Oreochromis niloticus: one gene and its partner. The protein of the gene in region 1 interacts with the protein of each later gene in a biochemical or structural test. Links are inferred from orthologs where the notes say so. Each region holds a gene or a part of one and is shown on either strand. Other genes may lie near its edges.

Region 1 (5,739 bases):
TAATTAAATGTTTTGTCTGGTTCAATAAGATCCAAGTAGGGCATATCACTCCATCTAAGGTCATGTGGGGCCACAAAAGTTTCAAAAGCAAAACGTGCAAACAGACATCGCAGCTGCATGTCAAACATACAGTATATGTTTTAACAATAAAGGGACCCACTGGGTAAGCTTACATTCATGAGGGCAGAAGCCATATTTGCCATCTTCGTCAAAGTTGTAAGTGGTGGAACACCATAGGAAACCGTCATCACGACCCTGAGGTGTGCAGCTGTTGTACTCAGTGCCCATGAACAGGAAAGGGAATTTACAAAACTCGCCATCAGCATTGCCAAATTTTGCCTTCACCACTGTAAAACAAAGAATGCATACATAGATACATACTTATGTATAGAAAGAGGTGAAGCTATATGAATATTCACTCTATGGTGCTTGATTTCATATGATGCTTTCTCAATTTACTATGAAACTTTGTAGCATTAATTTCACACATGTTTAGAAGGTAATTTTTGTAATAAGCAAGCTAACCAATAACATAGCAAGCTTCTCCTGGAAGTTAAAGCAAATGTTGTTGTCTAGAATTTGGAAAGCAGTTTCAAAGTAGGCTTTGAAAAATGTCCAACAAAACTGTATAATGCAGGGTACAAATGATTTGTATGTAACAGTATGAACAACAAACACATATTGAGAAAATAAAAGTTCATCCAAGAGATCCTCATCTGTTCATCTGTTTGAAACTAGCACCAAGAGAAATGGAAAGTAGGTTTATAGATTATTTTCACACAAATTAAATATCCAGACATAAGGATGTTAAAAAAGGGGAAGTATTTGGGAGTAAAACTATCTGGGTCAATGGATGCGAATACAAATGTGTGCAATAGAGATTTTTTTAAATTTAGCTTCCAGATGTCTGTAGTTTGAAATGATGTCAGGTGCCAGAAAAAGATGCTTGGAAAAGAGTATCTGAAAGTTATATTAGTTTCTACAATGTCAAATTCTCACCAGACAAAATTTTAAATGAACTTGTCTAAGCAAAAAATGAAGAACTAAATAAATGAAGAAATCGACACTGGTGGTTTTGCTGCATGCACTTTTTGTAACTAGCATTCTTTCATTACCTTGCCCCTCTCCAAGTGTCCACTGCTCATCATCATCAAAGTGAGAGTCTCCACCAATTCCTGGGCCTGGAGCAAAGGCATGAGCCAGGAGACCATCCTTGCCATCAAAGGGGTAACCATCTCCATGCTCTATTGATGACATCATTAACCAATCAAAACAGGTATACTGACTACTTAAGACATGATGTGACATTTGTTCATGTATGCAAAGATTTCTGTTTCTGAAGCAACAATTCCATGTCTTCTTCAGCGGCCGATTTTCGGTTGCGTTCCCCTGTAATTACTAGATTCTTTCTGAATACAGTCAGCTGTGACCAGACAGAATGTGGGTAAATATCAAGTGGTTATTTTAGCTGGAATGTTTGGAATGACTTGGGTTAATACCATAATCCCCACTGCCTTTAGAGAATTCCTAAAATACAGGATGGCTGGGGTGTAGAGTCACTTTGAAAAGAATGTTACTTTAAAAAGATGTATGTTTTTGCTCCTTCAGCATTAGTCTAGAACTCGTGAGCTTCTGTTTAAATATTGACTTGTGCTAATTATTATAGGAACATTCTTAGAATTTTATCCTGCAGCACAATCTCTTTATTCTATTACAAAGATGTGGCAGATCCAATAAAAGGAGTATTTTGAGGGCTTACAATATGCGTATTACTATAAAACAAACTGATACATTTCTTTATTAATTGTGATCCTCGTAAACCCACCTGAGTACAGATGTACAATAGTTTTCAAATAACAAATGGAATATCTACATAGCGTGATGTTTATACACATAGTATACCATTGCGGCCAAAATTAATCATGATGTCAGCTTCTCCATCCATGATGCGGGTGAAAGTGAGTGGCGTGACATCACTCCATACTTTGAAGGCCCTGAAGAAAGCATCATTTATGACTTCTTCATCCAGATCGGGAGTGTAACCCAGGATTCTACAAATTGAGTAGAACAAGACAAACAAGCATGATTTAGATTGTCCAATCAGGACAATCTGTGAGTGTTGCAAATTCTCCTTTCTTTACTGAACATCATGGAAAATAAAGAGGCCAATATGAGTAATCTGTAAAAGCGCCTCCTGAAACAATGTTCAGCCGCAAACCCATTTGTATGCCTGTCTACACAGTCCTTTTCCTGAAAACAGTCTAAGATCTCATAGTTGTTATTGTCTTTGGCTTCCAGTCTTTCTTATAAACACACAGGCAGAGAGGCTGGAATGATCAGAACACGCAAAACCGCTGATATAAATAAACTACATCCACATCATAGTAAACCTCAAACAGAATGAAAACAAAGGACCTGACACATACTGTGTAGGAATGTTGGTGTTAGCGAGACATAAAGATGCAAGCACTTCAGACTGTGGGGATGGGGGTAGTGTGGAATGGAGGTTGTGGAGAGGGTGGGGCCGGTTTTAGAGGGTCAGACAGGGGCAAATATTTCTCAGTATCAACAACTTTGATTTATGGGCAATTGTTAAAGCAACAGATTTTTAAAAAAGTGCTGTGCAGTAAATGGTTCCCTAAAGTGCAGCATGCCAAGTAACTCAAAAACTATTAGATCACACCCAGTGGTAATGCCATAACCATTTTGCAGGCCAAGCTGATTAAAACCTCCGCAATTGTTTGAGAACTAATTTGGAGTCACAGTGGATTGGCACTCACTCCCATTATCATGTGTGTTATTGTTAATTCTCTGACCTGTAGGTGACGTCCTTGTTCTGCCATTTGGGTTTTCTGTGGAAGAAGTTATAATTGGCCACATCTGGGACACCGCAGCGGGGTTTTTTCATGATCTCTACAGTTTTGGAATCAATCTCTCCAGTTTCTTGCAGAGAAAAAAACTTTTGCATTTTCTTCAGGGTATCCTTGAGAACCATAAGATTACATCTGTCTTGTGGGCATCCATAAAACTTGTTTAGATAATGCTAAAGTTTGGATAAAAACATAAAATAATAGGTTAGCGTTGTTAGGGTATCTTTATATAAAATTAGAACAATAAGAAATAAATAATGTGAAAACTACTCCTGTTCATTTCTGGTACTCCAGGGGTAAAAACAGTTCATTGCTGCCTGACCTACTTAGACATATTCTGAGGAAGGAAAAAAAGAAAAAGAAACTTACCAAAGCAACTTCTTTGTCTGTTCTGGGGGTATCGTCTCCGGGAAACCTGATAATAGGAGAAGGACGAGCATTTACTGTTTGGAACGCGATGAACTGAAGCAAAAACAATTTGAGAAGACTCCGACGACAACTGAATATCGTCGGAAAGCCCATTTTCTCGGGTTAACAGTATATCTTGTGCGGTAAGTGCCGTTCGCTCTGAGTTGCAGTCCTTTCAGCCCGTCAGCTTGTGTTGCTTCTGCTCCTCAGCAGGATTTTTTTTTTCTCCTTAACGGGACATCCTGCACCTCGGGTCTGCAAACTTTCTTAGTTCTGCTTGCACATGCACTTTTCCCCCGACGCCTTCTGCGCAGTCTCCAGGTTGGGAAAGAAATGGGGACGAACCAGCAAATCAAATGCTGAATGATTCATCGACTACAGTTCTTAGTCACCCGCTTTTACCAGAAAACGTCTACAAATAAATAAAAATGTTCTTTTTTTATTGTTTCCTTATCTTTTTTTTTTTAAAGAGTAGGATAATCATCTAGTGGAGAAATTAACCAATTTTGGGCTCTCGCCCAAGCTGACCAATTAAACCAATGAAAACCTTCCGCTTTTTAAGTGTGTATTTCTTAAATTAATATGTGCAGATTCCAAGATAAACTATAACCTGCATGACAAGAGGTTTCAGCACATTGTTTGACTTTTTTGTTTGTTTGGGGATGATCTTTATCATTTTTCTTTCCAAACTTAAAATCACCTATTTGTTTACTAAATTACGTTCTGTCAACCAATTCAGCCAATAACTTTATAATTGGTAGAAGTGGGCGGTACTCATATATTTTATCCGCCTCTAGCTCGACTTTTTTGGTACTTTTTTGCACTGCTCACTGCTGTCTGAGAGCACCACCACACCCCCCTTCTAACTTTCTGACTTCCAGCGACCGATTTTCTTTTCTATCCCTATTCATGAATTTCTAAATAACCACTCGCGTTGCGGTGGGTAGAGGGAGCGGGGGGGATCATTATACCGGATTAATTTGGAATTCACTGACGCAAAGCAGCTCTACGCTTCCGTACAAAGCTGCTGAGCGTCACCACACAATATATTACCTTGCCAGGAGAGAAAAACAGCGACACCCGATTGCAGAAAGGCCAGAAGTTATTGAAAGTGGTAGATTGACATCTGCTGGTAGGATGCGAAACTGGCCTCAATATTTGGAAGCTAAAAAGAGACCATATATGTATTCTACCCATGAAAACTAATAAGGAAAAAAACAAAAACAAAGGATGAGTGTGTGTGTGTGTGTGTGTGTGTTCGCGTGGGGGGCGATGTTCGCTAACGCTTACTTATCCTAGTATACATGTTATAGAAAATAAACACACAGTAAAATATGATAAATAAATATATTGCTGTTTACCATGAGTTGACTTTAAACCTCATCAGACATTTTACTTAACGACAGCAATCTGCAAATGAAAGATGTAGATATATATAATAGAACGCCTTGTAAATATACTATTCTTGGACTGTGCCTGGTCATAAGATTTGTAATATCATATATATATGTATATAAAAGGTTTACAAAATATTTTTGTGCAGTGGAAAATGTATCGTATAGAATCTTTCTTATGTAGTTTGGTGTATAACGCTTCGCTTCCCAAAGCACTGTAATGTACTATAATTTACACTAAGTGAACTAACCTACTTTAACTATTGAATAGTTACAGTGGTGATTGGTGCCCTCTAGTGGCTCACATATAACAAGTACCTGGTCTGTTTTGTGGCCCTTGGAGCCAGTGTTCTTTCCTGATTTGTAATCTACAGCACAGATTTAGGATTTACTCTAACTCTCTTTGACATCTCTTTGTTTCCGCTCTCATACTGGATTACTCTGAACAGCATATGAGAGCAGACTCTTTAATAGAGAGAGCTGAAGGACTTTTTTTGCAAAGAGATCTGACAGATGGATAGCTCACAAACAGGATTTTGTGGTATATCTAGCAAAGCAATTTCCCTTCCCTTTAGCCAGAGTACAGTTAATTTTTCATAGCCGGGGCTGCTGTTGGTGGTTGCAGAGTGAATTTAACATCCATTTGCCAACAATATCCAGGACCTGTCACTTTGGAGCAGGAGCTTTATTTCATGCACTGATACATGCTGCCATCTCCTCTAACTGACACACTGGCAGTGATCTCTCACAGAGCCGGGGAACAGAATGGCTACCTATTAAATGTACATGGGCCTGCCTCTCCAAATAGAAAATGCTGGTATGTGAAAAGTTGAGCCACAGCTACAGTAATTGAATGCCTTTGTGCATATGAATGCAATTTTGTCGGCAAAAGTGGCATAAAGAGATGGAGATGATAAGGTTTGATTTGCATGTAAATTGTTTTTCTCTCTCCCTCATTCTCTGCTGGATGCTTAAGCCTTTTCTAGATTTAAGCACCGCACATGTGTGTTTTGATGAAATGCAGTTGTTTTTATTTAAAGTGGGTATCTTGTTGCAGTTGATTGCAA
Region 2 (5,739 bases), on another chromosome or scaffold:
TTTGATCTTTAATTGAGGAACTATTGGTTGGGTAAGGTTGAAAAATTCAACATTGGATTTGCAAGAAGCCGTAACATTTTTTGGAAAGTGCATTCCATGATATATACTTAAGAAACTGTCTATGATAATAAGTGAATTGCAAAACCTTCCAAAACAGTTTTCTTGGCCTAGATTATCTGAAATGTTTACACCACCACCACCCCCACCACCCCCACCCCCCTCTTTGAAGTGCACACGCTAATTTCAGTTACTGCAGCTGTGTTATGAACGGGAATAAGGACAGGCACGCCTGCTGAGTGAAAGTAGCTGTGCATCTGCCCCACAGTTTCATAACCAAAGAGAAATATTGCAAACTTGTACCATGAGAACCTATCTGTAGTAAGTAACTTCCCCCTCCAAGATGAATCGGCACCCTTGTCATGCTCACAATGCTGGACTGTCAGTGGGCTTTCACACTGATATTGTTAGTATGCAGACCATTAGACCAAGCCTATAGACATGGAAATGAAGTGGGGAGAGACTGGGAAAAGAGAGAGAGCGAGAGAGATGGAGTAGGCTGAGTTGGCATGGCTTGGCCTCTGTCCAACAAACAGACACTCACATGCACACAATGTCAAATACACAAACATGGCCAGGGAACCGTCCAAGGTTTGTCCAGATGGGATATTAGTCAGATGTTGAGCTTTATTCAAAGAGCTCATCGACTCTGACAGCACTGTCAGGTCAGCTAAAGGACACCACCAGCCTACTCTTAGAAAACAACCAAGGATGGCCTCAGGTGCCACCAAGTTTTTTGTTTCGATTTTGAGTCTCCTTTTTTGTTAAGCATCAGTCCAGAAAATTGTATCCTATCTGAAAAAGGCCCACCGTCCATATCCATTAAGAGACAGGCACATACTTTTGGAACTAAAAACTTCCACAGTTCAAAAGATTTTGGAATTATCTTTAGTAATTCTTCTGAATTTATGCACAACTTATGTATAAGGTTGTTCATGTGCAACAACCTTTGTAAGAGTTCATGCAATAAGTGTGTGTTGAGTTGGAGTCTCATCTGGTCTCATTTTTATCATTTATTTTTACTTACTGTTTACATTGTACACCTATTCTCAGTGCCACTAAATATTACATGACTTTAAAATGTAGCTCTGGTGCTATGGTATCAAGGTGCGGATCTCTTTGGGGGCATATGCCATTTACCATTTTTTTCACCGCTCTATATCTAGAATTTGTATTGATCAATTTTGTTTTGTTTCTGTTCTGACCCATGTTTAGATTATTCACTGTATGTTAAAAATCGATGTAACTACCAGCAGGGGGAGACTGTTGGAGTTTTACCTGGGTGGCTCCACAGTGTAGTTAAGTGAAAAATTCCTGGAGGAGACAAAAATCCCTTTGGTACTGAGTCAAAAAGGGCATCAGCCTTTAAAAAAACAAAAAAACACGTGGCACTGCGGTGACCCCTTGTGAATAAGGTAGCAGCCAAAAGTAACTTGTTTTTCTATAGAAGCCTATGGAAAAATGACCCTTGACCTCTGCCCCAATGTTTTTGTCAAACAAGTGTCCAGATCAAAGCTAAGCTCCCCTCATGAGGTGCAGTGCTGTGAAAAAGTACTTTCCTCTTTCCTGATTTTTTCCCTTTTTTTTTTAAATTGTCAAACTTAAATGGATCATTGTCTTAATATTAGACAAAGTGAACCCAAGTAAATACAAAATACAGTTTTTAAATGATCATTTCAAGTGGGAAGCTATTCTAAGCTACCTGACTCTGTCTGAAAAAAGTAATTGCCCCCTAAACCTAATAGCAAGATTGTGCCATCAAAGTGTTTGTGATAACTGACAATGATGGCAATCTTTCACATCACTGTGGAAATATTTTGGCCCACTCTTCCTTGCAGAACTAATTTAATTCAGCCATCACTGTTAAAGGTCATGCCAAAGCATCTCAATCTGATTTAAGTCCAGGCTTTGATAGCTTGGATAGCAATTTTCCCCACAATAAACAAAATCACCATGTAAAACCTAGATTTTGTAATTATTTGGGTTATGTTTGTGTGTATTAAAATTTGTTTGATTATCTAAAACATTTAAATGCCAAAAATATGCAAAAAAAAAAACCAACCAAAAAAACCCCCAAAGCAATCAAATAATGTTTCACTGAATTGTATATTGATCTAAAACTGTGTAATTTTCTCTCAGTAGATTTTTGTTTATTTCAGTTAAAATCAGTTAAAGGATAACGTAAAAACATTCTTGTGAACAAACTGCCCCTTTCTACAGAGTCCAGTTTAAACACCCTGCAGATGGTGAGGTTTTGTCACAGTTTTCATCTTAGAACTATTTTTCAAAGGTTTTGCTGGATAGTTTCAAGTCTAATTGACTACAACAGGAGTTTTTTTGTTTTTTTAATAAAAGGCCTACATTATGCCTGACATGTCTCTACTATGTGAGTAATTGGTGTCCTTCAGTTGCTCTGTCAGATCTGCACCATGCTCAACAAGTCCAGTTTCAAAATATAAAGATCGCAACAGCAATAATGCTCAGTTCAAGGTGTCTCAGTGTGACTGTGCTAATCAGTGGCTGATGTCCATCTTCTGTTTACATTCTATGGCTTACTGAATAAGCATACCTGCACAAGCAAGTAAATGTGTGACAACTTAGCAGTCAGAACCCTGCTCTCTATAACCAATGATTAAAAAATAGGGCACAGTGCCATGCAGCTGAAAACCAGAACATTCCAGCTTGAGATGTTATTCTGGTTAGTTCAGGTCCTCTAGTAGTTTTCCTTTATAGTTGCAGGCTTTGAAGAAAGCTCAAAGAGCCAAACATCCACACTTAAAACCTAAAAACCTTGTATTGAGATAACCAAGATCTAAATTGGCTGTTCACCTGGAGATTTTGAATACAGGTATTGCCTTTCATTTAACCCGGCCTGTGTTTTCAAAGCACTTTAAAGAAGTTGACCCTCGAAACCTAAAGGGATATGCAGCCCAACTAGAAAACATGACTAAAATAAAAGCAATTTCCTCTTCTCTCTCTCTCTGTCTCCCTCTCTCCTCTGCTGGAGTGTAACCTTTGACCAAAGCACATACTCCAGCTTTCCACACTCTGGAGCCAAGTACTCAAAGTCAGAGCAGAGTGTTGGTTTTGGCTTGTGCTTAGACAAGAAAGAACTGGATGACGGGGGCGTCGGACAGAGAGACAGGCACACAGACAGACGGACGGACAGAAAGTAGGCCAGGACTTTTTTTTTCTTTCTTTTTTTTAGGACTTGTTTTTATGTGAGTGACAACAGGAAGGCGCTAATTTGTGAAAACAGATAGCACACAAAAAAAGAACATGTTAAGAGAAAAACTGCATCCAAATCAGCTTATTTAAATACGGCTATAAAAATCAACCTTGAAATTATGTTCAGATAACTCATGTTTTCTATGAATAATAATCATAAGAATCAAAAAGGCCACAGTAGCTTAGCCATGAACCTCTATTGATTGTAAAACTAATTTTGCACTGTGGATTGATTTTTCCCCCTGAAAGCATCTAATTAATCTGATCAGTAATCCAAATAATAAGTTGGTTAGTCAAGATGTAAGGACATTGTCCAGATTAGAATAAATAAAAAAGCATGCACCTATTTTCACACACATAAACTTGGTTATTCTACATTCAATAACTTACCAATCTCAGCACTGCAAAAGAGCTGTTGTGGGTGTGCTGGGTGGCAGCTGCATCCCTCCACAACTTCCTCCAAGCCTGCACCAAGCAAAATGAGCACCCAAAGCCCCAGACACACACTCCGCTCCTGGGACACGGCCATGATGACTCTGGCTACCTCTGACCGCTCCGCCACTTGATGAAAGCTCGGCAACCTCTTGTGATCCTGTTAAGTTCCCCTGGAAGCAAGTCGGGTGGGCAGTCAGCAAGAGGGCAGGGTGATAGATAAGACGGTGGGGTCGAAGTGGTAAGATGAGCTCTGCTGAGCCGAAAGGCAGCTGTGGATAGAAATGTTTTCATAAGTTTAAAGTAAACCTATGAATTCAAGCTGCAGTGAAGGGAAGGGAAGGCTGCTGCTACTGTTGCTGCTGCTGCCACTGCTCTCTTTTCTCTTCTCCTCTCTCCCTCTCTGTAGACAATACGCAGAGGAACTTACAATAGTTGGATCCCCTCACACTCTGGTCTTGAATGCTGAGAGGGTCGCACACAGGGAGCCTCTTATGTGCTCAACAATTTAGGGACAGCCTCCTCTAACGCAAGAAGAAAAACTACCATCCTTTGGCTCTTCTTCTGCCCTCTTTTGATGTCCCTACTCTCCTCCCATAGGCTGGCATAGGTCTCATTTACTTAGTCATAGTTTCATGTTTCATGTAATCACATCCACTTGGGAGATTAGGTTTGGTTTTTGGATTTTGTTTACAGAGCTGCAGTGGATTTGTGTACATACACGATGATTTTGGTGATTCCCTGACTTGTCCTCTAGCACCACCATGAGCATCACATGTTAGGATTTTACTGAAATAAAGACAAATTTTTGTATTATATTTGCACAGTGTTCCTGTGACTTTCATAAGATGTTTATTGGCATTATTTGAGGATGAATTTTACTGACTTTGATATGAGTTTTCGTTAATTGCAGCAGTTTTACTGCTTTACTAACAACGACCACTGCTAAAGGGGCCTCTTACTTTTCACTGCAGGATTTTCCAGTGTGTTATTATAACTAACATAAGTTGTCATTATGCTTCTTCATCATTATTTATCCATCAGTTATACTGTTTCTTTGCAGATTACAACACCAAGCTTCCCAGTGGTGGTGAAGATTGGACATGCTCACTCTGGAATGGGAAAGGTAATTGATTTCTTTATTTATCAACTGGCATATATACAGTTAGATTAACTATTTAACCACATCTGCTTTACTTACACTTTAGCTACCATTCAAAGATATGTGGGGATCGAATATTACAGCCAGGAAATAGTTTTGGCTCTGTGAATGGAGGACAAATCATGTGGCTATTATAGTAGTTAGCTTAGATGGTTAAATGGTAATCATAAAGCACCACTACATCTAGAATCACATTTATTGTACTTTTTAGTGCTTTTGCTGGCATACACGACCACTTAATAGCCTTCTCCCATCCTCTGCTTCCATCTTAGATGTCTTTCTTTATCCCTTTCCTCCTATCAGTTCATTGTTTTTATTCTCTCTTCCCTTTTGTCCTAACATTGTGCTGTTATTGATTGACAACTGTGTTAATATTTTCTGGCTGAAATCAGAGTGGAGCGTTTCTGCCGCTCCTCATCGATCCACCACACATCATTCCCCTGAACTGCTCAGTTCGATAAGCCATTTTCACACATGCACTACAGCCCCGAACTTTCCTGCACATTATATGGAGAAGCTTTATGTGAGAAAGCAAACGTCTTATCCGGTCAGATTGGACATTATTGTGACACAAGAAGGTATTATTTTTGTATTACAACTGAGTTACAGGAGCTCAACAACCACTCATACTTGAAAATGTTCTAAATAGTCTAAGCCTCCAGGTCTTAAAAGTAAAGCCGATGGAGAAGCGCTTTAACCTGCACTTTTTCTATTTAGCAGCAGGGGTTGAAATGTGCATTGATGGCATTTGCGTGACAAATTGTAAGACTGGCTGCATTTTGAGAGTCTTTCTTTATTTGAATAAATAAATTAAGTATTTATATGTTTTACTCCAATGTAGGTTAAGGTGGACAATGTGA

Evidence for each region.
Region 2: the proteins of mmp2 (region 1) and metalloproteinase inhibitor 4 form a complex in vitro, tested with the Homo sapiens proteins (2 studies listed by BioGRID). The link is inferred for Oreochromis niloticus from reciprocal best matches to the Homo sapiens genes MMP2 and TIMP4.

Annotation. Positions count from the first base shown.
Region 1 is NC_031965.2:30,275,477-30,281,215, forward strand, and holds the start of mmp2 (72 kDa type IV collagenase), read right to left. Parts: upstream 3,545-5,739; 5' UTR 3,393-3,544; coding exon 3,240-3,392; intron 3,044-3,239; coding exon 2,817-3,043; intron 2,052-2,816; coding exon 1,903-2,051; intron 1,245-1,902; coding exon 1,116-1,244; intron 348-1,115; coding exon 174-347; intron 1-173.
Region 2 is NC_031970.2:18,948,988-18,954,726, reverse strand, and holds the start of metalloproteinase inhibitor 4, read right to left. Parts: upstream 4,321-5,739; 5' UTR 4,148-4,320; exon of another isoform or gene 3,990-4,147; 5' UTR 3,815-3,989; coding exon 3,676-3,814; intron 1-3,675. Other genes in the region: syn2b (synapsin-2b), read left to right, coding at 4,781-4,843, 5,721-5,739. UniProt on the Homo sapiens protein: Complexes with metalloproteinases (such as collagenases) and irreversibly inactivates them by binding to their catalytic zinc cofactor. Known to act on MMP-1, MMP-2, MMP-3, MMP-7 and MMP-9.